7 linked regions of the Macaca mulatta genome follow. Each later gene encodes a partner of the first gene's protein in a complex. Links are inferred from orthologs where the notes say so. Each region holds a gene or a part of one and is shown in the gene's direction. Other genes may lie near its edges.

Region 1 (4,264 bases):
AACTTCTACCTGGAACTTGGTGACAGTGACTGATTTGTCTCTAACCATAAAGCCCATCAAAAACCAAGATTGTCTACTTAGTAGTAAAAAATAATAACGACGATGATAGGAGGATTCTGCTGAACTCATGTTTTCAATGGACCAAAAAAATCTTCCCCTAGGTATGGAGAAGTAACTCAAGTGGAAAGAAGGGATGCTTGAAATTATTGCAAACTCTTTATTCATTACATAGATTAGCCACTGGTGGGTACCATGCATCCAGGATTTATGAAGATTTCAAATACGCCGTCCTTTTGCCCCCATAACCACACTCAAACTCGTGAGACCATGTGCCTCTATTTTTAATTACGAAAATAAGGACGCTGTATCTCCACCGGTGGTTAGAACTGCGAAACATCCCAACCACAACGTCCAGAAGGGCGACTGATCGCAGAGCTTCAAGTGATCTTAACTACGTTATGTGTTCCTGACACACTACAGCTGTGTTCCGAGGGTCTGGGACGCAGGGCAGAACCATTACTGTATTAAGCTTTCCCGCTCATGGGACGCGGTGCTCAGTCCCCGGGGACCGACAGGGGCTCCACCAACAACTCTGCGCCTCCCTCTCGCGGCCCGGACGGCAGCAGCGCAGGTAACTGGAAATGACTGGCAAGAAAAGCACCTTTTAAAATAACAAAAACAAACCACTTATCAGGAACTTTTCCAGCCTGGAATGAGGAATATTTATAAAAACAGTGGTAGAATATTAGGACATTTCTAGGCCCAGTTTCACCAAGTGAAAAGACCTGGGATAAGACGAGCCCAGGGCTGCACTGGACTTGCGGGATGCAGAGACTAACCAGAAGGGCCCTGCCGTCGAGGGACCCTAATCTCTGTACGCTTCGGGGGCGCCCGGGTGGCAGCCGGTGTCCCGCCGCGTCCCTGAGAGGCTTCGGCCTTGTCCGACCCCAGGCTGAAGATCAGGTGGCCCGGGGCCAGCACGTTACCTGCAGCAGGTGCAGCTGGGCCACGAGACCCCGCGGCAGGTGGAGGAAGCAGTCGCGAGCGTTGGTGAAGGCCACAGTCACTGCCGCCCCGCCTCCCCCAGCACCCGCCAGGCGATCGCTGCCCCACATCGTCCCGAAGCGTCGCTCTGGGTTTGCCCACCCTAGCGCCGCAAAGGACACGGGACCTGGCAGGCCGAGGACGTCGGAACCGGAGGAGATCGATCGGCCCCGCCCCCTGAGGCCCCGCCCCCTCTCCCCGCTGCGCGTCTCGCCGTAAGCCTGTAGTGGGGTGGGACAAGAAAGCTTCTGTCACCCACCGCGCCTCTCCGCCAAGCCGCTCGGGGGCGGCACCTCGTTCATCAAATCCTCGCACGCAGGAAACGATGGCCGACGCTGTCGATTCTTCAGCCAATCCTGACACTCCTTAACTCATCCCGCTCTCTTATTGGATAAAAGGGAGGTCAGCAGGGCGGATGTTGTCCTCCCTGCGAGGATCAAAGTAGGCAAGATGGCGTCCAGCGGTGGGGAGTTAGGGAGTTTATTTGACCACCACGTCCAGAGGGCGGTGTGCGACACGCGGGCCAAATATCGGGAGGGACGACGGCCTCGTGCTGTCAAGGTAAAGTGATTTTTGGTTTCATTCGCTCTCCTCGGTAGCTTTTTGTGAGCGCTAGCGCCATATGGCTAACCTACGGAAATAAAGGCACGACAAGGCTTCCGTCAGATCTGTCGCTCATTAGAGCTGGCGTGAAGAACCCTGGGCCAGGTACCAAAGATTCTCACGACCCTTTTGGTCAACTATTAGAACATCAACTCCACGAGAATAGGGCTTGGTTTTAGTCATTGGATCTTCAGTGTTTACAGTACTACTTGGCACAGGTAAGCGCTCAGTGAATATTCGTTGAGTGATTGTTCCCAGTGACTTCTGCCGACTCAATTTCTGGAAAAAAATGTCGACTGAAGGTAGTCTGTTATATGCCTTAGGTAGCCTCTCACATGGACTGTTACTCTTTATGCAGAGGGAATGGCAGAAATTTTATTTTGTGTTTTTTGCTGACTGGGTTGAACAGATTATTTCTTGTTTTCAAAGTTCTGTTTAAAAAAAAAAATAGAGGCAGATTCGTCCTAGGCTTATTTGCGAAATACGTTTAATAACTATGCATTTCTTTCAGGTATATACAATCAATTTGGAATCTCAGTACTTATTAATACAAGGAGTTCCTGCTGTGGGAGTCATGAAGGAATTAGTTGAGCGATTCGCTTTATATGGTGCAATTGAACAGTACAATGCGCTAGATGAATACCCAGCAGAAGACTTTACTGAAGTTTATCTTATTAAATTTATGAACTTACAAAGTGCAAGGTAAGGTGCAAGTTAAGCAATGACTCGTTTCATTTCCTCCATTCATATTTCTGTCATTTTGGCCCCAAGTTTCCCTCATTCATATCTGAATTACCCCAAAATGTAATCTAGCATATCTTCCTACAGCCTTTTTACAGGTTAACTTTACTGAAACACTGTATCCATCACATCCCATGCTTAACAATTTAATGTCCTGTAGCGTGGTAGAGTAAAAGTTGGGTTTGGCCAGGCACGGTGGCTTACGCCTGCAATCACAGCACTCTGGGAGGCCGAGGCAGGCGGATCACGAGGTGAGGAGTTTGAGACCAGCCTGGCCAACATGGTGAAACCCCGTCTCTACTAAAAATACAAAATTAGCCGGGTCTAGTGGCGCATACCTGTAATCCCAGCTACTCAGGAGGCTGAGGCAGGAGAATTGCTTGAACCCAGGAGGCAGAGGTTGCAGTGAGCCGAGATTGCGCCATTGCACTCCAGCCAGGGCAACAAGAGGGGATCTCCGCCTCAAAGAAAAAAAAAATGGGTTTGAGGGCTGGGCGCCAATAACTCACGCCTCACGCCTGTAATCAGAGTACTTTGGGAGACCGAGGCAGGCAGATCACTTGAGGTCAGGGGTTCAAGACCAGCCTGGCCAACATGATGGAAACCCCGGCTCTACTAAAAATACAAAAATTAGCTGGGTGTGGTGGTGCAGACCCGTAGTCCCAGCTACTCAGGTGGCTGAGGCATGGGAATCGCTTGAACCCGGGAGGTGGAGATTGCAGTGAGCAGAAATCACACCACTGCACTCCAGCCTGGATGACAGAGCGAGGCTCTGTCTCAAAAAAAAAAAAAAAAAACAGAAAAAATTTGGGTTTGGCGCCAGGCATGTGGCTCACACCTGTAATCCCAGCAGTTTGGGAGGTGGAGGTAGGCGGATCACCTGAGGTCAGGAGTTCAAGACCAGTCTGGCCAACATGGTGAAACCCTGACTCTACTAAATACAAAAATTAGCTGTGTTGGTGCAAGCCTTTAATCCCAGCTCCTGGGGAGGCTGAGGCACAAGGATCACTTGAACCCAGAAAGTAGAGGTTGCAGTGAGCCAAGATCATGCCATTGCACTCCAGCCTGGAAAGAGTGAGACTGTCCCAGAAAAAAAGAAAAGAAAAGAAAAAAAAGTTGAATTTGATCCCAGCACTATGGAAGGCCAAGGTGGGCAGACAGCTTGAGCCCAGGAGTTCGAGACCCGACTGGCCAACATGGCAAAACCTCACCTCTGCTAAAAATACAAAAATCAAGGTGGGCGTGGTAGTGCATTCCTGTAGTCCCAGCTACTTGGGAGGCTGAGGTGGGAGAATCAGTTGAGCCCAGGAGGTGGAGGTTGCAGTGAGTCATTTATGGACCACTGCACTCCATCTTGGGTGATGGAGTGAGACTATGTCTCAAAAGAAAAAAAAATGTTGGGTTTGGAGTAAGTTTTCCATTTCCACTGCTTACTAGCTTTGTGATCTTGGACAAGTTATTTAACCTGTTTAAGTTTTTCCTGTTCCGTAAAATCTATATGGTAAAGGGACCTATCTACTTCTTGAGGTTGTATGAGGATGAAATGAGATAATCCATATAAAGGGTTTAGCAGAGTGCCTCCTGGTCAGAATACAGTAAGCATTAGCTATTGTGGTTTCTACTGTTACTCCTTTCTGCAAATTGACTCAGTGTTTTCCGGCCTTCTATGTGACATAAACCCTCTGCTCCAAAAAGGCTGAAGTATGCAATGCCTTATCTATTTTTATGTTGATCTCTGTTCTCCTCACTAATCTGCTCTGAGACCCATCCTTCTCTGGCTGTTACAATTCATATTTTCTTTCATGTGCTATCAGTAGAAATCATAATCTACCACAAAAGCACTTGATTTTACTGGGTCATGTGTGGTTTTCTCAGG
Region 2 (4,297 bases), on another chromosome or scaffold:
GTTTCGCCTTTTCACGTTTTTCTGCCCGCTTTATATTCGCTGGTACCTGATTAGATTGTTCCCACCAGATTGAGGGTGGGTCTGTCTTCCCCAGTCCACTGACTCAACTGTTTGACAACAAACAGTTGTCAACAGTTTGGCAACACCCTCACAGACACACCCAGGATCAATACTTTGCATCCTTCAATCCAATCAAGTTGATATTCAGAATTAACCATCACAGATAGTATTGTGGGTTTTTAAATATATAAATACAAATGTTCATCTCCAGATCCATCTCCTGTGCCCTGTATTGGTACACCAAAGTGCACCATCAACAATGGCCAAATATCTTAAATATGAAATAAAATAGATAACACTATTGTATACTAGCAATTATCTTAAACGTATCTTGTGAATCAACTAATTCAATTCTTACAACTACTGCATGAATGGGTACTACTAGTATTTCCATTTAACAGATCAGGAAACGGCCACAGAATGTGAAGTTACTTGCCCCAATCATCCATAAATAATCAAAGGACTCAAGATTCAAACGTAAGTAGTCCAACTGCAGTGTTTTTATTCTTAATTCTCACACTTTGCCTCCAGAAAGGAGTGGAAGCACAGCACCCTAAAACTGTAATAGAGAAGTGTGTGGAGAAATCAGGCCTGGTTTATGAAAGATTTGATAACATAAAGATATTCTTGTTTTAGAAAGAGAGTTTCCAAAATAGTAAGTAGTTGAACTTTTACGTTTTGTTACTAGTGAAAAGTGAAGTTTAAAGAAACAATTTGTTTGATGCCCTAGTTCTGTATGCTGTACAAACTGCTACTTCCTACTCAGCCAGGCAATCTCCTTATTCTCAGGTCATACCAGTTGGTACCTTAACTTAAAAGACAGGCAACATAGTCTCTACAGAATTATTTTTTCCTCATTATTTCACTCTATTTATGATCTAATATTCTCCCATTCTCTTGGCTTGGATGTCTTGGAATTTATTAGGCACTTGACTCTTGGTCAAACTCTTATAAAAAAAAGTCTCAAGAAAATCTCTCACTTAAGATTTTCAAGGAAAGTGACAACTGACTACTAAAAAAAAAAAAAAATTCCCAAAATGCAGTGAAATACTTTTAGATTAAAGTAAATTTGCCTAGACCCTAAACACTGCTAGGCTGCCAGTCAGCAGCGTGGATGTTAACTCGCTGGCGCGCATCTGTATGAACTACAATTCCCATCGTACACCGCGCCATTTCACCGCTAAACTACAATTATGCTTTCGTCATTTCCGTCAGCACAGGTGCTGGATTTCGGACTTTGTAGTTCATGCCAACTTCTTTTTAGTCGCCATTTTGATAAGAATACAGTGTGCCTGGATCGACTGCTTTGACTCTGGCATTATGATATGGTATCTGAAATAAATTAAAAGGATAACGCGTCAAGCCAATTGAGCGTCAAGTTTTTATGTATTTCAGTATCTGCCTTGTTCCTACTGTCGGTGCTCGGGAAGAGGAAGTGACGTACATCCGGTGTAATGGCGGCGCGGTGCAGCTTTAGGTAATTATCGAACTCCGCGGAGTCCCCGTAGGCACCGAAGCGGAGCGGGGGTGGCGGGTTGCCGGGTTGGGTGGGAAGTGAAAGACCCTGAGGAGTGGGTGCGGGCTCACTGATACGGCTGTGAGCGGCATTGGAGTGTGCGTGGGTCTTCCCGCCACGCTCGGGCCCGCGAGAGGGGTGTGAGAGTGGCTGGGTCCGAGGAGTCCAAGCGGGTGGGGAGCGAATGGGCTGCGGTGAACTGACTGACTGCCTGAGCGGACCGGCTGACCTTCCTTGTGAGGTTCCTGCAGCTGTCTGAAGTCCTGCACCAACGCTGGTGCTCTGTTGTTTCGTGTGCAGTGTGTTTTATACTTAGAGCCTCTGGAGTCCATTGGGCTTGCCAAAGCCCCTTTCCCAGTGCCTGGGGAGTGGGATTAATGAGCTCTAGTTGATTAAAAGTTAGTTGAAGTACTTGCACTCTTATGCCTCTTTCCGGCGTTATATCCCTTTGGCTATTTGTTTTACGTTTCATTAGCGGTTTCTTTTTCATTTATTTGCCCTGTAAATACTGATAGTTTCTGGAGTTTAGTTTTGAAGACGCTTCGCTTCTCTTGTGTCCTCTTCACCTGTCATTCTTGATCCTTACATAACTTGAACTATCTCCAATGAGGTAATAACTGCTAAACTTGGGTGTCCAGACTCCACCTCTCTAAGGAGCTTTGGGTCCTGTAACACAGCATTATAGAACGGAAATATAATCGTTAATTTCACTGAGTTTAACTGCAAAAACTACCATACCTATTTCCACTTAATCCTAACAATTCTTTTGAGGTAATTGGAGAAGGCAGGATTTGGAGAAAGGCTATTCTAGATGCAAGAATTAGGTAAGAGTTTCCTTTGCATTTTTGGATGTGCAGAGACTCGAAATAGCAGATAAACAAATTGGGTCCTCAGCAGATCAGTTATCCTACCTCTTATCCGTATTTAGACTTATCTTCTTGTAGGATTGCTTGTGAATTCAGGAGTTAACACAGATTATCCTACTATGCAAGGGCAGATTTAAAATTGACATTAAAAGTGTGGTTTTGACCAGGAGAGGAGAAGCCTTGTTACAGGCCTTATCAGTAGGTTGAGGAAAGCTACTTTTGTTGGTCCTGGGTGATGGACTAGTAGACCAAAGATTTCAGTTTTATTTAGCTATTATTAGGTCTGTCACTTGGAGCAAGTTAAAGTCTCTATTATATATAGTCAGCTTCATCATCTGAAAACATGTAGGTAATAATACAATACCTGCCTCACTGTGTTGTCTTTTTTTGAGTATAAAGAAAATAATGCAGATGAGGCACTGAGCACAGTGCCTGATATACAGTGTTAGCTTTGTATTATTGTAAATTGCTACTATGATACAGTTGATGAGTTCTGTCTGTGCCTCAGTTCTTGCCCTCTGGGTCTGAGTGTTGCCTTTCCACCTTTAAGTGTCCTTCCAGGTTTTTTTTTTTTTTTTTGAGACGGAGTCTCACTCTGTCGCCCAGGCTGGAGTGCAGTGGCGGATCTTGGCTCGCTGCAAGCTCCGCCTTTCGAGTTCACACCATTCTCCTGCCTCAGGCTCCCGAGTAGCTGGGACTACAGGCGCCAGCCACTACGCCCTGCTAATTTTTTTTATTTTTAGTAGAGACGGGGTTTCACCATGTTAGCCAGGATGGTGTCTATCTCCTGACCTCGTGATCCACCCACCTCAGCCTCCCAAAGTGCTGGGATTACAGGGTGAGCCGCTGCGCTCGGCCAGTGCCCTTCTAGTTTTAAGTGTCCATGCCACTTTTATGGAGTCTTACCCAACTCAATTGACTGGGGCTCTGAGACCGTCTTGGTTATAAGTTAAAGGCCAAGAACTTTGATCTAATACCCTGGTCTAGTGGTTCCAAAAATGTGGTCTCCTGAATCAGCAACATCTCTTTGAAGCTTATTAGCAATGTAAATTACTGGGCTTCACCCAGTTCTGTTGAATCAGAAACGTAGAAATGCAGGCCCAACAGTTTTTTTTTTTTTTTTTTTTTTTTTTTTTTTTTTTTGCGCCAAAGCATTCGAGTGATTCTCATGCCAGTTAGTTTGAAAACTTCTGCTCTAGCCCATCTTTTAGGGGCATGCTATGGTTCATCCTCCCCCTGTCCTCAGAATCAGGTTTGTTTCCCTCCTTGCTCCAAAGTACTTGATCCATGGCCAGCCAGTATTTATTATTATGCCACCACATCCTTCCCTGCTTTGGATAGATTACCTCCAATCACTTTTTGGAGTTCTGACACTTCCTAGACTACCTGGTTTTTCTAAGCGAGCTTTCTTAGCTCTATTAGCTTTCCCAGCTGTTGAATTTTTAGAAGTTAATTCTTCTGTTGGGGCGCGATGGCTCATGCCTGCATTCCCAGCACTTTGGGAGGCCACGGCAGGCGGATCACTTGAGATCAGCAGTTCGAGACCAGCCTGGCCAACATGGTGAAACCCTGTCTCTACTAAAAATACAAAAATATGTAGCAGGGTGTGGTGCTGTGCATTTGTAGCCCCAGCTACTCGGGTGGCTGAGGCAGGAGAATCACTTGAACCTGGAGGCGGAGGTTGCGGTGAGCCGAGATCACTCCACTGCACTCCAGCTTGGGTGATAAAGTGAGCCTCTGTCTCAAGAAAAAGAAGAAGAAAAAGAAAAGAAGTTAACTCTCCTTCCCCATGATTGAACATTGTTGAATGACCTACAGTGGCTTGTACCTGAGACCACCCAGAAGACAGCACGGT
Region 3 (4,109 bases), on another chromosome or scaffold:
AAATCCTATGAGGGTTTTTTTTTTTTTTTTTTTTTTTAAAGTAGAGACGGTTTCACCATGTTACCCTGGCTGGTCTCGAACTCCTGGGCTCAAGGGATCCACCGGCTTCGTCCTTCAAAAGTGTTGGGACTACGGGCGTGAGCCATCGCGCCCAGCCGGTCATTTTTTAAAAAGTTCTTTGCATCTCTGCCCCCAGCTCCCTTTCAGGCAGTGGTCCCGTCATGCTTTCCACACTGTTGCAGCAGTTTTAACTGTTGCAGAAATTTTAACAAGTTTCTCTGCTTCTAAACCTTACGTTAGATCCATTTTGTAAATAAATGCTGCTACCTTTTCATTGTGTCATTCTTTACCTATAATTTTGCAGTGGTTCCCCACTATCTTCAGCATAAAATCTAGGCTCCTAAGGCTGAAAGCCAGGGATCCTCACCAAAGGAGCCTGTCTTTTCAACCTCATGTTCTCCTGTCTTAGGTGCACTTAGGTTCCAACTTTGAGTCGTCGCTCATGTCAATAAAAAGTTCACTACTTGATGCTTTTAATTAGGTCAAGTCAGGTGCTTTCCCTTATTTTCCTCCATGACGGGCATTTCCTGCATATAGCACGTTGTCACTTTGATATTTTCTCAATATCCTTGATGGTAAAGTAAGGGAAGGGTTAAAGAGCTGCATTAAAAGTACAGTCTCCTCTCCTAGATATGCATGGTCCTTAGGTCTGTATCTGCTCCTTCCGTAGGGTAGCCACCAGCTACATGTAGCTGTTGAGCACTTGGAATATGGCCACTGGGATTGAGGGACTGGGTTTTTTATTTTAATTCTATTGTGTTTTAGTTAAGTTTAATTTAAATAGCTACATGTGGACATGAGCTACTGTATTGGACAGCTCAGGCCTGTGTTATGATTGTCAAAATGTAATAATCTACAATTAAGGGTTGACAAATAACAGTGCAACAGATTAACATTCCAATCCCCCTCCCCTACACACACAGTATTCGCTAATGGTCCTTTAGCTGAAGATTAAGGGACATAGGGTAGCAGGGACACATGGTCGATGGGAGATGCTCTCTTTTCATTCCTGTTTTTACTTCTGTCCACCCCACCATTCCTCCTCACCCGACATCTTGCACATATTTGCCAGATAGTTTCCTCCAAGCCAGGAGCTGAGCTTTCTTTTTTCTTTTTCTTTGATAGAAAATGCAGCTTTGGCGTTTTTGCTAAGTTTTATGGAGTGCCAGGCCTTGAAGGAGGCATGACGTGTGCCGCATGCCTTCTCAGACTCTGAAAGATGAACTGACTGTTGTCTCTTTCACTGTAGAGCTCTCTTCCTGCCAAGATGTCTATTGGTGTGCCAATTAAAGTGCTGCACGAGGCCGAGGGCCACATTGTGACATGTGAGACGAACACCGGTGAGGTATATCGGGGGAAGCTCATTGAAGCAGAGGACAACATGAACTGCCAGGTATTCTGCTTTGCATGTGAGGCTGTGTGGGAGGAATGGCCCTGTGTCTTGAAGGACAGAAAGGTGTGGGTTGGGGGTCTTCTGTAAATTGTTCTCATTCAGCAGTGATTTCCTGAGTGCCTAACACATACCAGTCAGGTGCTGTTATAGGCTCTGGGGATGTGGGCATGAACAAAACACATAGTCTTGAGGCAGAAAAGCCATTTGGAGATTTGGAATATTTTACTTCGCCTTTTTTGTTTTTTCCATCCCCAAATTTGGGGACCTGTTTGGGAGAAGTTCCTTCAGTAGAATCCTTCAGGTTCAGAGCCATTATCCATTTGCCTCCACTTGCTTTGCAGTTAGGAGAATCTTCTCACATACTGTGTTTGTTTCCCTTTTCTCTTGGAGGAGGAGTCTCATTTGATTATTGCAACTACCTTGTGAGGTAAGCAGGTTTGGTGGTAGTCTTGTCATCCATAAAATAGGGAGAATGAGATTAAAGGACTCATCACTCTGATAGTAAATAATGGAGTAGTTTCTTGATACGGTGTCCTTCTCATGGCGCAGCTTTGCCTTTTGCATAGTCATCTGAATTTTTATAGCATTGTTTTTCAGTTGTATCTTCACACTTTCTTTGTTCTTTAAACCATTGGTTAAGAACTTGGACTTGGGAGTCAGAGAGAGATGTGGGTTTGATTCCTAATTATATGACCTTAGATGTATTAATCACTCAGTTTTCTCATCTGTAAAACGGGAGTGTTATTATTTTGGGTTCTTTGATGTAGATGCCAAGACAGAATTATGCAAGGTATTTATTGGGGGAAATGACAATAAAGGATAAAGGAACAAGGAAACAGTAGTAGGCAGGGAAATTTTCAGTCCGTGATGCTGGTCTGACTGGTGAAACGAGAGGGGAAAGAAGGAGGATTGAGCAGGAAGAACCTTAGACTACAGTGTAGTTTTGAGGAAGTCTCAGCAAGGCAGTGATTGCTCATTAGAAGAATCTAACATGGGGCAGAAATGGGCAGACTGGCACCCCTGGTGTGTTCATTCCATTGGCTGGCAGCCTGGGGAGACAGTCTCTCTCCCCAAGTTGAATGCCATGGTGGACTGCAAAGATGGAGATTGTCGGCTGCCTTCACTCCTCATAGCCTGTTTTCTTTTGGAGGGAGATCTGAGCAGCACACCCTTAAGACTGCCACAGGGATAATATCCACACCCCCAGGACTTTTACAAAGATCAGATGAGCTATATGTGTGCAATAGCTGCTCGGTGCCTCACATACTGTAAGTGTTCAACGTATGGTGTTTACTGCTTTTTTCCAGATGAGAAGGTCAGAGAGGTAAAGCGTCTTACACCACGGTCAGGTATCCTGACCATCTATTGGTTTGCGCCATTCATTTATTTGTGATTTTTCTGTAGCTTTGAGCGTCTATCATCTTCCTGCGAGGTTGACAAGCTTGGTCAGTTCCCTGGATGCAGAGAAGTAGACCTCTGGTGACTCAGGTTTATTGCATCATTGTCAATAGATCAGTTTATCTATTGACAGTAGATAGGTTTATCATCTCTCTTTCATATATCCAGACCTCTGGCTTAAGGCATGCTCATCCACTTTAAGGTACTTTAATTTGGTGAGGAGAATGCAGGACTTGGGTTAGTGAATCTTAATGGGTTTGTCATCTAGCTATATGTATTTGGACAACCTGCTGGGTTTCCAGGGCCTTTGTCATCCCATCCATAACATGAAGGTGTCTAACCAGATAACCTCGGTGGCCATTCAGAGATGCAGTCCACGTGACACAAAGTGCACAGAACTTGGAGTCAGACAGACCTGGAATCAGCTTGCAGCCTGCCACCTAGGGTGACTTGGGGTGAGCTTTGGACCTCCTTCGTCCTCTGGTCCCTCTTCTAAGTCAGGGATAAAAATAGCTCCTTGGCTTCAGAAGGAACCATAGTGCAGAAGAAATGAGTAGATGCATGTCACATGCCTGACCAATGGTGGGGGGGCAGCCACCTGCCTCCCTGCTTGTATTTGTATGCTAGTGCTGCCAATAACAAAGTTTCACAGATTGGGCAGCTTAGACAACACAAATTTGTTTTCTCCTAGATCTGAAGGCTGGAAGTCTGAGATCAAGGTGTTGGCAAGGCTGATTTCTTCTGAGGGATGTGAAGGAAGGATCTGTTCCAGGCCTCTCTCCTTACTTATAGATGACTCTCTTCTCCCTGTGTCTTCACTTGGTCTTCACTCTGTAGTGTTTCTGTCTAGATCTCTTCTTATAAGGATACCAGGCATGTAGAAATAGGGCCCACTCTAATGACTTTTCTTAACATAAAGTTTTTTTTTTAATAAAGTTTTTTTTTTTTTTTTTTGAGATGGAGCCTTGCTCTGTCGCCCAGGCTGGAGTGCAGTGGCGCGATCTTGGCTCACTGCAACCTCCGCCTTCCAGGTTCAAGCGATTCTCCTGCCTCAGCCTCCCAAGTAGCTGAGACTACAGGCACCTGCCACCATGTCAGCTAATTTTTGTATTTTTAGTAGAGACGGGTTTCACCATATTGGCCAGGCTGGTCTCGAACTCCTGACCTTGTGGTCCACTTGTCTCAGCCTCCCAAAGTGCTGGGACTACAGATGTGAGCCACCATGCCCGGCTTGCCTTTTTTTTTTTTTTTTTTTTTT
Region 4 (4,146 bases), on another chromosome or scaffold:
AAATTACCTGAGAGTTAATTGTACTGTTAAACAAGGACTTTATTAATTTAAAGTAACAGTCAATATGTTACACTATGGAGAATATTCCAGAAAATAGAAATATCTCAGAAAAAAAATACTATACATACACACACACACACACACACATACACGTGGGCGCGCGCGCGGGAGGGGCGCCCGCTAGTGCGAAAAGCAGAAGGGCGAACCTGGGCCTTATCCTAATAGCTCTCATTTAATTCACCCAGTGCTTTTCAAAGGCAGATATTTTACTGATAAGGAAACAAGGCAAACAGGTGAGGTGGTCCAAGGTCCCACGCGCTACAGCTCTCTCTCTAAGGAAATACACTAGGCATGAAGAAGCAAACGGATGGCAAGAAGGGACAAAGGTAAACTTTCCCATAGATTCTCTTAAGCTGATTGAGGGAGGGCAAGGGGATCAGGAATCCATTCTCTCAACAGATAGCCCTTCAGCCATTTTTCTGAGCCACCCTCGGAATCGCAGCTGCCATCAGATGTGGATGTAATACAGTGAGCAGTTACCAAACTCAACCGTTTGCTGAGTGAATGAAGGAACCAAAGTAGGCAAAGTGGGAAACCAACTCTCCTGGGAAACCAGCACCGTGTTAGGCCCTGGCGTGCCCCCAGGGCGCCTGCAGGGGTGCCACGGGCATGACGCGGCCCACCTCCCCAGGCACCGCAGCGGAGAGAAGGCTCTTCAGAGCGGCCCCCAGAGGAGCCTTCACGGGCATCGCCGCACCTCCACCGGCAGCTCCACCCCAACCCTGGTCGCTGGGAATTCTGCCCGACCCTAGGCCGGCGCGAGCGTGGGCAGCGAGGAACCAGCTGAGAAGCAGGATCAAAGAGCTCGGGAGTTGGAGACAAAGAAAAACTGGGGGACAGAGGCAAAAACTCGGATCCGAAAGGGGGTCTGTCCATCAGGGCACGCCGGAAGAGTGGCGCTCGAGCTGACGGCGAGAGCGGGCGGGCCGGGGCGCCGAGGCTCAGGGCTGCTTCGGCAATTCGCGGGGGTGGCTTGCACCCCGGGAGGCGAGAGCGCCTGGGAAGTCCAGCGGGGCTTACCTAACTTTCCCGCCCGCGGAAGGGAAGCGGGGAACTACTGCCTCCCACCATCAGGTACGACAGGAGGCCCAGGCCCACGCGCAGACGCAGGGTTGTGGGGCGGACACCCACGGCCGAACAGCCAGTCGCAGAAAGGGAGGGGCGGGCAAATGGGGCAGCCCCACCTAGCCGCTCGCGTTCATTCCTCCCGCGGCTTTCCAGGTTTGGGGTAGGCGGGAGCGGTGGGCTTAGAAGCCGGAAGTGGATTGACGTAGCCCGGAAGGGGAATACTTCCCAGTTACAGTGTTGATGTTTTCAGGCTCCTGCTGCTCCTGTTGCGGCTAGGGGAACTGTCGTGGGGAAGGATGGTGTGCGAAAAATGTGAGTTAAGGGGCTGCTTCTGCGGGAGGAGGAGGCTGGGATAATCTAACTGAGCCCTCCCGGGAACTTTGCCTTCTCTTTGTTTTTTTCGCCCACAGGTCTCTGATTCTAGCCGCTGTCTTTCTACCCTACCCTTTGACCATTTTTGCACCTCCCCAACGACCATACAGTCCTATGTATTTTGTACTCAGAATGGTCTCAGTTCTGCACCTCCCTCTCTATTTCCATTGCCTTCCCCCAGCCCCAGATCTCATCGGCTCCCCTCCCATATAAAAATGTTCAGTTAAACCCCAGCGACACCTTTCCCTCTTGGCAATTCCTGTCCTTTCCTTTTTATTCGTGTAACAAGTATTGTACTCCTGCCAAATGTTAAACACTGGAACCAAAGACTTAGGACTTTGCCTTATTCATTCTCATTAGTCATTATGCCAGGATATGGCGTAGAGTAAACCCAGAGATGTTTGAATTGAACATCAACGTAAGTGCAAATTATTATTTCCCTAATTTAAATCCTTTAATAAACTCTCAGTGTGCAGAGAATAATTTGGGGATTCTATATTTGGAACCTGACGTTCAGTACCCTCCACACTAAGGCGCCAACTTATTTTTCCAGCTTCATTTTCACTGACCCTCATCCTCTTCACACTTTGACCAAACAAAATACTCTTTGTGCCCATGTGTACTCTAAGCTTTCTATGCCTTTCCTCAGAATGTGTCCTTTATCTAGTTTGCGTTCATCCTCTTTACTCCTTTTTGTTCACAGTCCTGTTGCCACATATTCAAATCCTCTCTCTTGCCTTCTCTCCAAACTTTGTTTTCTTGGATTTCCTTAGCCAGGGTTATTTTTTCCTGCCTGGAATTTCTCCCAGTACTTTAGTTCTCAATTATTATATCTTTTATTTTTTAGCTTACATTTTGTTTGAATGGTTCTTTTTGGGGGGACGGTCTCTGATCCCTCTGAGAATCTGATGAAAACTGTAGCCTCTTGCCAGGAAAAAAAACTGAAAATATAAAAGGTTTGTGTACAACTCCACCTTGTTCACATATCTCTTAAGATCCACCTGGGGAACCCAGGTTACAGATTGCTGTTAAAGAAATTAGTATACTATAATCTCATTAAAATTTTGTCTGATTCATCACTTTTTCTCAGCACTTTGTATAGTTTATACATCATAGATGCTTAGTAAATATTTATGGAACAAATAGACTTATTGGATTTTTTAAAAGTATAAACAAACAGTGAAAGCTTATTATAAGCCATCTTATTATCCTGCGAATTTTACCGACGGTCAGTCATTCATTGCCCACAGTTAATATGAGTCTCAGTTGACTGGCTGCTTTCTCAGCATTAACAGGCTCCTATGGTAATAGCATTGATAGTCGATACCATTGTGAGCCTTAGGCACAATGTAATGCACTTATGAAATAGTAAATTTTAATTTTCCTTTTACTATCTTGTTCTAACAGGTGAAAAGAAACTTGGTACTGTTATCACTCCAGATACATGGAAAGATGGTGCTAGGAATACCACAGGTATTTCTTCTTTTAGAAAATAGGAATTTAACCAAATACTTACTGTGAATTATATTTTAGCTTTTACATTATTTGTACAATGAAATGTTGTATGTTCAAAGTATTTTATCTATTAAATGTTAAAGAATACTGGGTCCCCAAGTGATTTAATATCTTTTATTTAGTTCTCAGTTACTTGTATGGGTTCCCAATATCAGGAGATAGCAAAATTATTAAATGATTGTCAAGTGGTGACAATATCACAGTATTTGATTATCACAGTATTTGATTTGATTCAGCTTATTTAGAGTCTGTTTTTAATTTCCCCACTCTTCTGAGGAGAAATTTTTTTAAATCTTCTGATTTTTATATTCTTGAATAAATAAATGCTTTAACCCATTTTACCTTCATTATCATTAAATCTTTATAATGAAGTATTTACCTTCATTATTATTAAATACATATAGTAAAGTATGTTTTCAAAGCGTAGACAAATAAACATTTTCATTATATTGAAGGTCTATGACACTGAAGTAGTGGCTTCTAGATTTTACACTATATAGAGTAAATATAGACCCATTCCTAAAGTACTCCCTTGAGTCTGAGAAATAAAATGATTGTATTTTATACAAATTTTTACTGTTTCCCTAATAAATGTTTTCTTTTTAAGCAGTGTCTTAATAGCCTACTAAATGAGGATTTAAAAATTAGATACAGACTACTATTTTGGTAGAAAGTCAAAGAATGAACTTCTTAATGTTTTATGTTAAATGTATAGAAATAACCCACTAAAATATCTTTTATTCTGATACAGAAAGTGGTGGGAGAAAGCTGAATGAAAATAAAGCTTTGACTTCAAAAAAAGCAAGGTGGGTAAGAGCATCCATAGACAGATCATATAAATTTCCTTTCTTTTAGTATTAAGTCTGCTGGAGTGAATTTGATGTGCATCATTCCATTTGCAATAAAACATAAAGGTAGGTGGTTCATAGCACTCAGAACCAAGCTATCTGTTACAATCCTGCTGGTTTTACCTTATTCCTCCTTGGCTGTATCAATATATGAAGATATTAGTGTTATTCTCTTACAGTTTCACCAGAAAACATGACTTGTATTTTATCTCCTTCTTAATTATCCTATGAATCAGAGACAGCAGGGAAATGTGGAAAGATGGTAAGCTTTGGAGTCAAACCT
Region 5 (3,500 bases), on another chromosome or scaffold:
TTTCTTTTATAGTTTTTGAATCCTATGGTAATTAATGAGAATATAAAGCTAGAGTTTGAGGTTTAATTATTGCTGGTCATCAGACACAAATGCAACTAACTGTGTACCCGTGGAGCCTACTGCCACATCATCTCATTAATGTTGGATGCTCCCTTTTCCATTGCATAGGCTGCACACATGTATTCTGGGGCTAAAACTGGGTTGGTGTTAACTGACATACAGCGAGAACAGCAGGAGCTCAAGAAACAGGATCAAGAAACCATGGCATTTGAAGGTAAAAATATGAAAGTGCAGAGACCAATCCAGGCTCATTTTTTTTTTTTAAATTTAGCTTATTGTACCTGGTATTTTAAACTTTTAATTGCTATCAAATTTCAGCTCTGGTTTTATGCATGGTTGTAATTTCTCAGTGAGTCCCAGTGTTTCTTTCCTTCTTGAAAAATGCCATTTCGCCCAGGCGTGGTGACTCATTGTAATTCCAGCAATTTGGTAGTCCGAGGCGGGTGGATCAGCTGAGGTCTGTAGTTCGAGACCAGCCTGGCTAACATGATGAAACCCCGTCTCTACTAAAAATAGAAAAAAACTAGCCAGACGTGGTGTTGCATGCCTGTAATCCCAGCTACTCAGGAAGCTGAGACAGGAGAATCGCTTGAACCCGGGAGATGGAGGTTGCGGTGAGCCAAGATCGCGCCACTGCACTCCAGCCTTGGCAACAGAGCGAGACTCCATATCAAAAAAAAAAAAAAAGAAAAATGCCATTTCTCGGGCCCAGTGCCAATATGCACCTAGATGTTGGTAGGAACTACTTTGGTCTGGCTGCAGAAGTTCTTATCCAGCATTAGAATCCCAAGTGGTTGATTTGATCTCTTAGAATGTTATTTCTGATTTTGATCCTGATATTTGAGTATAATTTTCCTTTGCAGCTGAATTTCAATATGCTGAAACCGTATTTCGAGATAAGTCTGGTCGTAAGAGGAATTTGAAACTGGAACGTTTAGAGCAAAGGAGGAAAGCAGAAAAGGACTCAGAGAGAGATGAGCTGTATGCCCAGTGGGGAAAAGGGTAAGGGAACCACTGAAAGGGTAAACAAGATGGCAGTGACTGGAACAAGTCATTTCTCTGCTCTTCTTGATCACTCACTTTCTTATTATGCCTTCAGAGCTGTTATCAGTAATGGGAAATTTGGTGTGCTGAATCTTCTTCCTAGGATATTGATATATTCCACACTTCCAGTGGATATTCTGGGAATTTTACCCTGCTCAGTATTTGCCCTAGGGTACTACTAGAAAGAGGAGAGTCTCCAAATTTAGCAGTATGGTCCATCTTGTGTAGAAGTGGAAATGTCATACAGGATAGCAAACACTCTTGGTTCTTTTTTGCCCAGGCTTGCCCAGAGCCGGCAACAGCAACAAAATGTGGAGGATGCAGTGAAAGAGATGCAAAAGCCTCTGGCCCGCTATATTGATGACGAAGATCTGGATAGGATGCTAAGAGAACAAGAAAGAGAGGGGGACCCCATGGCCGACTTCATCAAGAAGAATAAGGCCAAGGAGAACAAGAATAAAAAAGGTGGGACTTCTGGGAATCATCAGAGCTGGAGGTGACTTGTGAAGAGAGAGAATCATTAGGATTCTGATACATAGCTGTATGCAAGGAAGGATTTCCCAAATAATTTAAATTCATTGTATTTGTGAGTTTAGATTCAACTCAACTGGTCTTTCTATGTGAAAATTTTTCCGGGCCAGGCACGGTGGCTCATGCTTGTAATCCCAGCACTTTGGGAGGCTGAGGTGGGTGAATCACCTGAGGTCAGGAGTTGGAGACCAGCCTGGCCATTGTGAAACCCCATCTCTACTAAAAATACAAAAAAAAATTAGCTGGACGTGGTGGTGCACGCTTGTAATCCCAGCTACTTAGGAGGCTAAGGTACGAGAATCGCTTGAACCCAGGAGGCAGAGGTTGCAGTAAGCCGAGATTGTGCCACTGTACTCCAGCCTGGGCAACAGAGTGAGACTCTATTAAAAAAATAATAATAATAATAAAAAATTCCCACATTGCCATCCAGCTCTGAATTAAATTATGTCGTTAACTAAATACTTTTTTCTTACTCCTCTCTTTAGTGAGACCTCGCTACAGTGGTCCAGCACCTCCTCCCAACAGATTTAATATCTGGCCCGGATATCGCTGGGATGGAGTGGACAGGTAAGCCTGGGTATTTCTTAGGTTTTTATTTTCTCTTCTACCTGACTGTAACCTTCCCTAACCACTCGTAAGTTGCTCCACACTTTATTTCATTCTCTGCTTTAATCACAAGGTGAAAAATATGCACTTTGCTTGCTTCTATTTCTGAGGTCCACAAATCCTATTTTTCATGCTTGGAACACTCCTCTTTCTGTTTCCTTTTCATAACACTTTTTAAAGCTCTGTACAAACAACTCAGGTGGTTCAGATAAGACACCCTTTGTTTTGGACATTGGTTACTTTTAATGATATTTTCTAAGGTTTAGAGGGGTCGAGTGATGAGTCGTAGTCTGGAGCCTTCTATGTGATATGTCTTTAAAATGTAGCCTCTGAATCTTTCTTCACTTTACGGTCTTAGGAGGCAGTCACTTTTAATGTCTCACGGTCCTCTACCACCTCATCTGTCTACCTACCAGCATCTGTACCCACATGCTCTAACTTCCTGTCTGTTATGATGGATGAACTATATTTGCTTCCATCCAGAGTCAGTTCGTGTACTTACGTATTAGATTCTATCTCCTCTTGCCTACTAAAGGACATTGTTTTAGTATCTAGCACAATAATTCTCAAACTTTTTAATTTCAGGATCCTTTTACACTCTTTTTTTTTTTTTTTTGAGATGGAGTCTCGCCCTGTTGCCTGGGCTGGAATGCAGTGGCGCAATCTCAGCTCACTGCAACCTCTGCCTCCCGGGTTCGAGCGATTCTCCTGCCCCAGCCTCCCGAGTAGTTGGGATTACAGGCGCGTGCTGCCATGCCCAGCTATTTTTTATATCTTTAGTAGAGACAGGTTTTCACTATGTTGCCAGGCTGGTCTCGAACTCCTGACCTTAGGTGATACGTCCACCTTGGCCTCCCAGAGTACTGGGATTCCAGGTTTACAGGATTACAGGATTACAGGTGAGCCACCATGCACAACCACTCTTGTTTTTTGTTGTTGTTGAGGCAGAGTCTTGCTCTGTTGCCCAGGCTGGAGTGCAGTGGTGCGATCTCCACTTCCCGGGTTCAAGCAATTCTCATGCTTCTGCGGCCTGAGTAGTTGGGATTACAGGTGTGCATCACCATACCCAGCTAATTTTTGTATTTTTAGTAGAGACGGGGTTTTTGCCACGTTGGCCAGGCTGGTCTTCAATTCCTGGGCTCATATGATCGTCTGCCTCAACTTCCCAAAGTGCTGGGATTACAGGCTTGAGCCACCATGCCTGGCCTACACTCTTAAAAATTACTGATGACCTCAGAAAGCTTTTGTTGATGTGGATT
Region 6 (3,500 bases), on another chromosome or scaffold:
GATTTGACCTCTTCACTCTAGAATGTGGGACTGTTTTAAAGCATGAATTCTGTTATATATGAAATTCTGAACGTTACCAGAGGACTTACGGGTAATAGTCAAAATATTTTTTATTAGGGACAAGCATAGACTATTTTAAAGTATCAGTTAGTTGATTGTAACCTTCTGTAGTGGATTTCTTATTCCTCAAGGATTCCAGGATGTAATTTCTCTTAAATATGAACGAAATGAATAACCAGTTTAGTACAAGACTTAAAATAGACCAAGGGTGCTGTCATTTTTAGTCATTTGCCCTTTGACTTGACCCTTTTTGCCTTCTTCCAGACTTTTGAAGATAACATAAGAAAAAACAGGACTGTAATTAGTAACTGGATAAAATACGCACAATGGGAAGAAAGCCTAAAGGAGATTCAGAGGTAAAATTGCTGAAAGTGTAGTTTTGTGTATAATGATTCATAGGTTAACAGATACCAAAAAGAAAAGAAGAAAAAGTTAAAGCACAGATAAAAGATTGTGCCTCGGGTAGAAATTGTCAACTATGGTTCCATGAAACCCTAGGGTTCCCTTGAGGGCCTCAGGAGCACTGGGGTAGAATAGTCCCGGAGGGCGGGGCGGGAGACACTTTACAGATTGATCTTGTCAGCTGTAGCTAAAGTAGCACAATTTCATCTGCTTTCTATATATTGAGATTTTTTTTTTTTTTAATGTTTAGCTGAAAACCAATGGCCAAAAAAATAAAAATTGCAATCTGGCCCTTCCTGTTGTCTCGCTTTCTGCATTCTCCCCTCATACCTCCTTCCCCCGCTGCGCCTGTGTACGTGCCACTCCCTGAATATATCATGTCTCCTTATTGTGAGGCTTGGCTGTTCTCCTCGCCTGGAATGAGCACCCCCTCCACACCAACCTTAGTTTCCTGGTAAATTGGAACTTGCCTCGAGTTCTTGTTTCTAGAGTTACCTACTACTTAGCCTTTTCCACCAGACATTTTCATTTCTTCCTCTCTGCTTCCTGTGCAGATCTTGACTATAACATAAATCACATTGCATTATAATTGCATGCATGTCTTTCTATAAGACTTTGTAAGGTACTTGAGAGCATTATATCTTTTCATCATCTTATGCCCAGAACCTGGCTCGTGGTAGACACCTAATAAAACATCAGGGCATTCCAGATAGTGTGAAATAACCGCTGCATGTGTTGTGTGCACTACTTTTGATGCCCTGCAAATCTTGCTTCTTAAGGGCTCGATCCATATACGAGCGTGCTTTAGATGTAGACTATCGAAATATTACACTCTGGCTGAAATATGCAGAAATGGAGATGAAGAATCGCCAAGTCAACCATGCTCGAAATATCTGGGACCGGGCCATAACAACGCTGCCTCGAGTCAATCAGTTCTGGTAAGTTTCTGATAAAACAGCCTTTTGTAGCCTAGAAAAGTTCCACATTTTCTGTATTTATTTTATTTACATGATGATAGTTTAATTTTACATCCTACTTTTTCTTTAAACATAAATGCTTTTTAATGTCCCATAGTCTGTTAAGTCATAATTGTGATGTTCTACAGCTATGTAATCAAAACTAAAATTTTGGTTGCAATCTTTTGTTCATAAGCTTCTTGTTGAACTAGGCAACTTTTAATAAAAAATCTTTTTTTCCAATGGTTCACCCTTTTTCAGATTTATATTTCAATAACAAAACATGTTCGATTTAACCTTTAAGAAAGATAAAATCTTAAATCTTCCTCCCATTCAACAATGGGAGAACTAAACCACAGCAGATATTTTCGGGTGATTTTGTTAAAGGTACAAGTACACATACATGGAGGAAATGTTGGGAAACATTGCCGGTGCCCGGCAGGTGTTTGAGCGCTGGATGGAGTGGCAGCCTGAGGAGCAAGCCTGGCACTCCTACATCAACTTTGAACTGAGATACAAAGAGGTGGATCGGGCCCGCACCATTTATGAGCGATATATCCTTTGGACGAGAACTGAGTGGTGCCATGATTGTCCTGGGTGCTGCTGCTCCTGTAGAGGTGTCTCATGGTCAGGACACACAGTCATTGACATCAGACTAGAAGTCAAGAATGCCAGTTTATCAGCTTCCCTATGTTTTGTAGGGAAAGAGATTGGTCAGAATGAAAATTTGTGATCTGGGTAATTAGTCTTTTCTAGTGAGAGTTTGGGTTTATTTTATTGTAGTGCTGAAAACTAATGTTTCCTCATGGAAAATGATATTCCTGGGAGATTGTTTCCAGGACATCAAGGAGATGCCAAAATCGGTGATGCTTAAGTCCCTGATATAAAATGATGTAGTATTTGCATGTAACGTATGCATAGCCCCCCATATAATTGAAATAATCTCTAGATTACTTATACCTAATGTAATGTGAATGTTATGTAAATAATTGTTATTCTGTGTATTTTAAGGTATAATAACCAAAAAAACTACATGTTCAGTATAGAAGCACTTTTTTCTCATGAATACTTTATCTCGGGTTGGTTGAATCTACAGATATGGAACCCATGGCTGGAGGACTAACTGTACTAAGGTTCTGGCTGCCCTTGCCAGTCCTGTTTTTCTAAGGTTGGTGTTGGTCATTACTACCGTTACTGGAGTTCATCAAAGGTTTACTGTTTATTGGCTGTGTGGCTCCAGTGAGTCATTTAACTCCTTTGAGTCTTCGTGTCCTCTTCTTAAAAACAAGAATAAAAACACCTTTGTTGGGCTGTTGTGAAGATTAAATGATACACATGAAAGCACTTTTGAAACTGAAGTACAGTCATTCCTCATTATTCACAGATTCCATATTTGCAAAATCACATATTTGCTAAAATTTATTTGTAACCCCAAAAATCAGTAATTGTGGCACTTTCACAGTCATTTGTGGACATGCACACAGCATGAAGTCCAGCAAGGCGAGGCTCTGCCTTCTGGTCTTAACCTCGTATAACCATGCCCAGAGCTTGGAGACAGGAAGGGCCAGTGCCATGTAGTGCAAGGAGCTCCGGCCCTGGGGCCAGTTGGGGAGTTTGAATCTGTCAGTGGGGCAGCCTCAGTCCAATCGCTTAACATTTCTGAATCACTTTTCTTACAAAATAATGAAGATAGAATCTGCTAGGATGAGTTCTTTTTAGGATTTAAGATGATCATGAATGTGAGATTGTATATATACATGTTTCCCCTAGGCACAGTGGTTCAATACTCAATAATTAAGTGTTTGCAGTGACTACATAGAACATAACTACCACAAATAATGAGAATCAACTTTACAATGCAGTATTAAGATCTTTTTATTTTTTTACTCTTCTCTCTTTAGGTGACAGTGTTAAGATCTTAATTATGTCTAGTAATTTTAATATTATTAGTTTGACAAAAGCTTTTATAGTACTTGCTATGTGCCAGGCATTATTCTAAGTACTTTACAAATATTGTGGTTTAATCCTCATAACAACCTTGCAGTGTAGGAACTTCTCCATCCTACAGATGAGGGAGCTGAG
Region 7 (3,500 bases), on another chromosome or scaffold:
AGCTTCTAAGTTATAGGGGTCATAAAAATGAACTAGTTTCATTGCATACAAATTATGATGAGAATTTAGTGCTTCAAGTTGGTAATTCAGCAGACTTCTTTTTAATGATATTTTTTAAAGAAAAGATGTTTTTAAAATACTATTTTCAGTCAATAGAAGAGTAAGATTCTTACTTATAAAACTTTAGTTTGTATTGAACCTTTCAGGGATACGTCTTTTGCTAACCATATTATATCATTGCTAGGTTTTATGTAAATTTGTTAACTCGTCATTTAGGAATACTGTTTATTTCCCCCCTCATGATTATATTGTACATTCTTTCCAGAGCATGAAGGGCAAAAGCAAAAGTAGTCATGACTTGCTTAAGGATGATCCACATCTCAGTTCTGTTCCAGTTGTAGAAAGGTTAGTCCATTGTTGGTGTGATCCTAAGTTCTTAATTTTCTGGGTCAGATAATTTTCTTGCTTCCTCTGTGAGTAAACAGTCAGTACTCATAAATCAAAAATTTCAAAACCAACCAAAAAAATAACGCATTTTGATAACAGAGATAGAGAACTTCAAGCTTGATAGAGAGAAACACTCTAGTCACTTTTGCACTTGCTCTCTACCTCTGTTGAGTAAGTTACATTTAAGATTGTTTTACCATTACGTGTTAGGACTGGAAACTGTTTGCTTTAACAGTTTAATGTTTAATTCAAGGTTGTTTTGCTGTTTTTCTTGAAGCATGTTTGCCTTAATTGTATCATGAATGAACAAATTCAAGTTGAAGGTTTTTGTGAAGAAATTACCAGTGTGGGGGCCAGTCCGCTGACTGTAAATTCTCACATACTTTGAGGAGTTAACAGAAAGTTGTCTTGCTACCTTTGTTCTTCTCTTTGAGAAGGGAAGATGTCTTGGTGTTAGATGTGATTGCACAAGATAAACTGGGCCATTATCTCAAGGGGCACTACAATGCTGTTGTACTCAGTTTAGCTCATTTTTGAAACTCCTGTTTTAGGACAATCTTTTCTTAATATCCTTTTATTTGAAGGATTTGGGGTTTTTTAGCGAGAATACTTCAAGCCAATAGAAGAAATTGTTCTTTGCAGACCATTGTTCATAAAAATAGCACTGTTGGTTGTTGTTTGCTTTTTTTCTTTCAAATTCTAGTGAACGCATATATTTGCTAATGAATCATACTTGTTCCACTTATAAAGAGTGTTTCCATCTGTTCTATAATGCCCTTCTTAAATTCCTATGTTGAAATACATTTTTGGAATGTTATTCCCAGCAAACTATTCTAGATTTTTGGTTTACAAAATAATTGTATTAGTTTTACCTTGAAACTAAAATTTGTTTTGCTTATTTTTTTATAGTGAAAAAGGTGATGCAGCGGGAGATTTAGATGATGTAAGTATTTATTTTGGTATAAATATAGTTTGAACAATTCATAGAAAGTACAAAATTTTTACAAAGACTTAATTTTGTTCTTAAAAAGTAATGTGCATTACTTTTTATAGTATAGTATAATGTATAACTTTTATAGTTATATATGTCAAATTTTGGAAAAATATGAAAAATAGAAATTATCCATTTAGGTATTAGAATATTTCCTTACTCTAGGGGTGTGCGTGAGTGTGTTTATATATCTCTCTACAACATTAGAATCTTATATATGAATTTCTAGTCTGTTTTTTTCTCCCCTTCACATAACATTACATTAATACTCAAACTTGAGATGTTATAATTTTATTGTGTTAAAAGTTTAAGTGTTGGTGTGTGGGCATCCTACATGATACATGGGAAATGCTTTGATCAGTCATTTATAGTAGTGTCCCCTTTTTATATACACATTTCAAAAGATTCTCATTCAAGACTGTAGTGATCTTTGTTAGTTGTGTTGGGTAATAAAGCTAACAAAACAGAAGGAAGATTTTCCTTTAATACATAAGAGTCAAGTTTTGCAAATTATACATATGCCACTTTGTATATAAAAATCCATTAATCTGTGCATTATATAATTTACTAGGAAGTACATAACTTTCCATGCATGAACACAGATTTATCTATTATCACAGTCAAAAGAGAAGGCTCTCTCTGGCTATCAGTAGGAGATAGAGAGAGGATGAATATCTGACCTTGTCAAGAAAACCTTCCTGGAAGAGATGATGGTGTTTATGTCTTACATGAGAGTTAGGAGTTAGATAAGTCAGAAAAGAAAGTGGTGAAGGGTAGGGTCCCTCTAGCTCAGAGAACAGCATATACTAAAGCATGGAAATAAGGAGAGATTATACCTTATTTAGGAAATACAAACAGAGATTTAAAGTTTCAAGGAGTCTGTCTTGTGAAGAGCAAGGAAGAAGATTATTGAAGGTAAGGGGAACTGCATATACAAAATAGTCCGAAGCAGGAGAGTTTGGTGTGTTCTAAGAGCTGCAAGCAGGCCAACGTGAACAGGATGTGGTGACAGGCCAGAGCTTCATTACAGAGCTTCATAGGCCGTGGTGAGGAGTTTGAATTTTTTCTCAAAAGGAAGTGAGGAACAGTTGAAGGGTGTTTGTTAAAAAGAAGGATGCTGTGATCAATTTTGCATTTCAGGAAGATCACCGTTGGTGATATTATAGAGGACAAATTAGAGGAAACAGACTGATGTCAAGGACAGCCACTGGGAAGCTATTGCAGGAGGAGAGCTTGATATAAGACCACAGCTGTGAGATGGGAAAGAGGTAGATTTGAAAGAGGTCTAGGAGGTGACTGATTCCATACTATGAGGTGAGGGAGGAGTAGTCCAAGACAACCACAAGGTCTCTGGTTTGGGCAACTTGTTAGATGGGTACAAAAGAAAGCATAGGGTTGAGATGGAGAGAAGGATGAAAAGTAATGAGCTTAATTTTATACATTTCAAGATTGAAGTAATTTGGAGACATCTGTGTAACATAATATGGGTCTAGAAGATAGGATCAATGTATAGGATAGAATGTAAAAGTATAAATTTGCTCTTAATATCATGGGTGGGTGACTAAAACTGTAGATCCTTTCCCAGGAAAATATCCTACATTCACAACCAAAATTATATGAATTTGCCGGGAATTTTTTTCAGATCTCCTGAGGCCTGAGCATGGAAGGCCTAGGTTGGTGGTTGTCAACTTTTAGTGCTTAAACATCTTGTTGAAAACATTCATAATTTCTGCCCCCAGAGATTTTGGTTCAATAAGTCTGCAATGAGGACTAGAATTTCAGGTGTTAATAAACAACTATGTAATACCATCTAAAGACCAGACTTTGAGGACCACTGCTTTAGGGGTCCACAAGTCTCAAATTAAGAATCCTGCTTTCACTACGACTCACCAGATCAAAGAAAGAATCACGAAATAAAAATGATCTACTTGGGGTTATTTCTTCCTTCTTCTCTCCCCTCTTTCTTCCCTTCATTCCTCCCTCTGTTAATGCTGGGTACCATTCTAGGAGTTGAAGATACAACAGTAAGCAAAACAGGCCAGAATTTTAGCCCTCATGGAGT

Evidence for each region.
Region 2: RBM48 (region 1) and CWC22 share a complex: the UniProt entries of both Homo sapiens proteins name them as parts of the minor spliceosome. The link is inferred for Macaca mulatta from reciprocal best matches to the Homo sapiens genes RBM48 and CWC22.
Region 3: RBM48 (region 1) and SNRPD3 share a complex: the UniProt entries of both Homo sapiens proteins name them as parts of the minor spliceosome. The link is inferred for Macaca mulatta from reciprocal best matches to the Homo sapiens genes RBM48 and SNRPD3.
Region 4: RBM48 (region 1) and CRIPT share a complex: the UniProt entries of both Homo sapiens proteins name them as parts of the minor spliceosome. The link is inferred for Macaca mulatta from reciprocal best matches to the Homo sapiens genes RBM48 and CRIPT.
Region 5: RBM48 (region 1) and BUD13 share a complex: the UniProt entries of both Homo sapiens proteins name them as parts of the minor spliceosome. The link is inferred for Macaca mulatta from reciprocal best matches to the Homo sapiens genes RBM48 and BUD13.
Region 6: RBM48 (region 1) and CRNKL1 share a complex: the UniProt entries of both Homo sapiens proteins name them as parts of the minor spliceosome. The link is inferred for Macaca mulatta from reciprocal best matches to the Homo sapiens genes RBM48 and CRNKL1.
Region 7: RBM48 (region 1) and CWC27 share a complex: the UniProt entries of both Homo sapiens proteins name them as parts of the minor spliceosome. The link is inferred for Macaca mulatta from reciprocal best matches to the Homo sapiens genes RBM48 and CWC27.

Annotation. Positions count from the first base shown.
Region 1 is NC_133408.1:126,862,844-126,867,107, reverse strand, and holds the start of RBM48 (RNA-binding protein 48), read left to right. Parts: upstream 1-1,464; 5' UTR 1,465-1,494; coding exon 1,495-1,605; intron 1,606-2,158; coding exon 2,159-2,349; intron 2,350-4,264. Other genes in the region: peroxisomal ATPase PEX1, read right to left, coding at 987-1,115. UniProt on the Homo sapiens protein: As a component of the minor spliceosome, involved in the splicing of U12-type introns in pre-mRNAs.
Region 2 is NC_133417.1:84,939,753-84,944,049, reverse strand, and holds the start of CWC22 (pre-mRNA-splicing factor CWC22 homolog), read left to right. Parts: upstream 1-1,497; 5' UTR 1,498-1,537; intron 1,538-4,297. UniProt on the Homo sapiens protein: Required for pre-mRNA splicing as component of the spliceosome. As a component of the minor spliceosome, involved in the splicing of U12-type introns in pre-mRNAs. Promotes exon-junction complex (EJC) assembly.
Region 3 is NC_133415.1:28,770,555-28,774,663, reverse strand, and holds the start of SNRPD3 (small nuclear ribonucleoprotein Sm D3), read left to right. Parts: upstream 1-1,309; 5' UTR 1,310-1,327; coding exon 1,328-1,453; intron 1,454-4,109. UniProt on the Homo sapiens protein: Plays a role in pre-mRNA splicing as a core component of the spliceosomal U1, U2, U4 and U5 small nuclear ribonucleoproteins (snRNPs), the building blocks of the spliceosome.
Region 4 is NC_133418.1:78,216,525-78,220,670, reverse strand, and holds the start of CRIPT (cysteine-rich PDZ-binding protein), read left to right. Parts: upstream 1-1,346; 5' UTR 1,347-1,424; coding exon 1,425-1,440; intron 1,441-2,907; coding exon 2,908-2,973; intron 2,974-3,766; coding exon 3,767-3,821; intron 3,822-4,146. UniProt on the Homo sapiens protein: As a component of the minor spliceosome, involved in the splicing of U12-type introns in pre-mRNAs. Involved in the cytoskeletal anchoring of DLG4 in excitatory synapses.
Region 5 is NC_133419.1:117,431,531-117,435,030, reverse strand, and holds part of BUD13 (BUD13 homolog), read left to right. Parts: intron 1-168; coding exon 169-274; intron 275-923; coding exon 924-1,062; intron 1,063-1,384; coding exon 1,385-1,569; intron 1,570-2,120; coding exon 2,121-2,202; intron 2,203-3,500. UniProt on the Homo sapiens protein: Involved in pre-mRNA splicing as component of the activated spliceosome. As a component of the minor spliceosome, involved in the splicing of U12-type introns in pre-mRNAs.
Region 6 is NC_133415.1:63,975,942-63,979,441, forward strand, and holds part of CRNKL1 (crooked neck-like protein 1), read left to right. Parts: intron 1-324; coding exon 325-416; intron 417-1,241; coding exon 1,242-1,400; intron 1,401-1,805; coding exon 1,806-1,972; intron 1,973-3,500. UniProt on the Homo sapiens protein: Involved in pre-mRNA splicing process. As a component of the minor spliceosome, involved in the splicing of U12-type introns in pre-mRNAs.
Region 7 is NC_133411.1:72,852,601-72,856,100, forward strand, and holds part of CWC27 (spliceosome-associated protein CWC27 homolog), read left to right. Parts: intron 1-325; coding exon 326-405; intron 406-1,356; coding exon 1,357-1,390; intron 1,391-3,500. UniProt on the Homo sapiens protein: As part of the spliceosome, plays a role in pre-mRNA splicing. Probable inactive PPIase with no peptidyl-prolyl cis-trans isomerase activity. As a component of the minor spliceosome, involved in the splicing of U12-type introns in pre-mRNAs.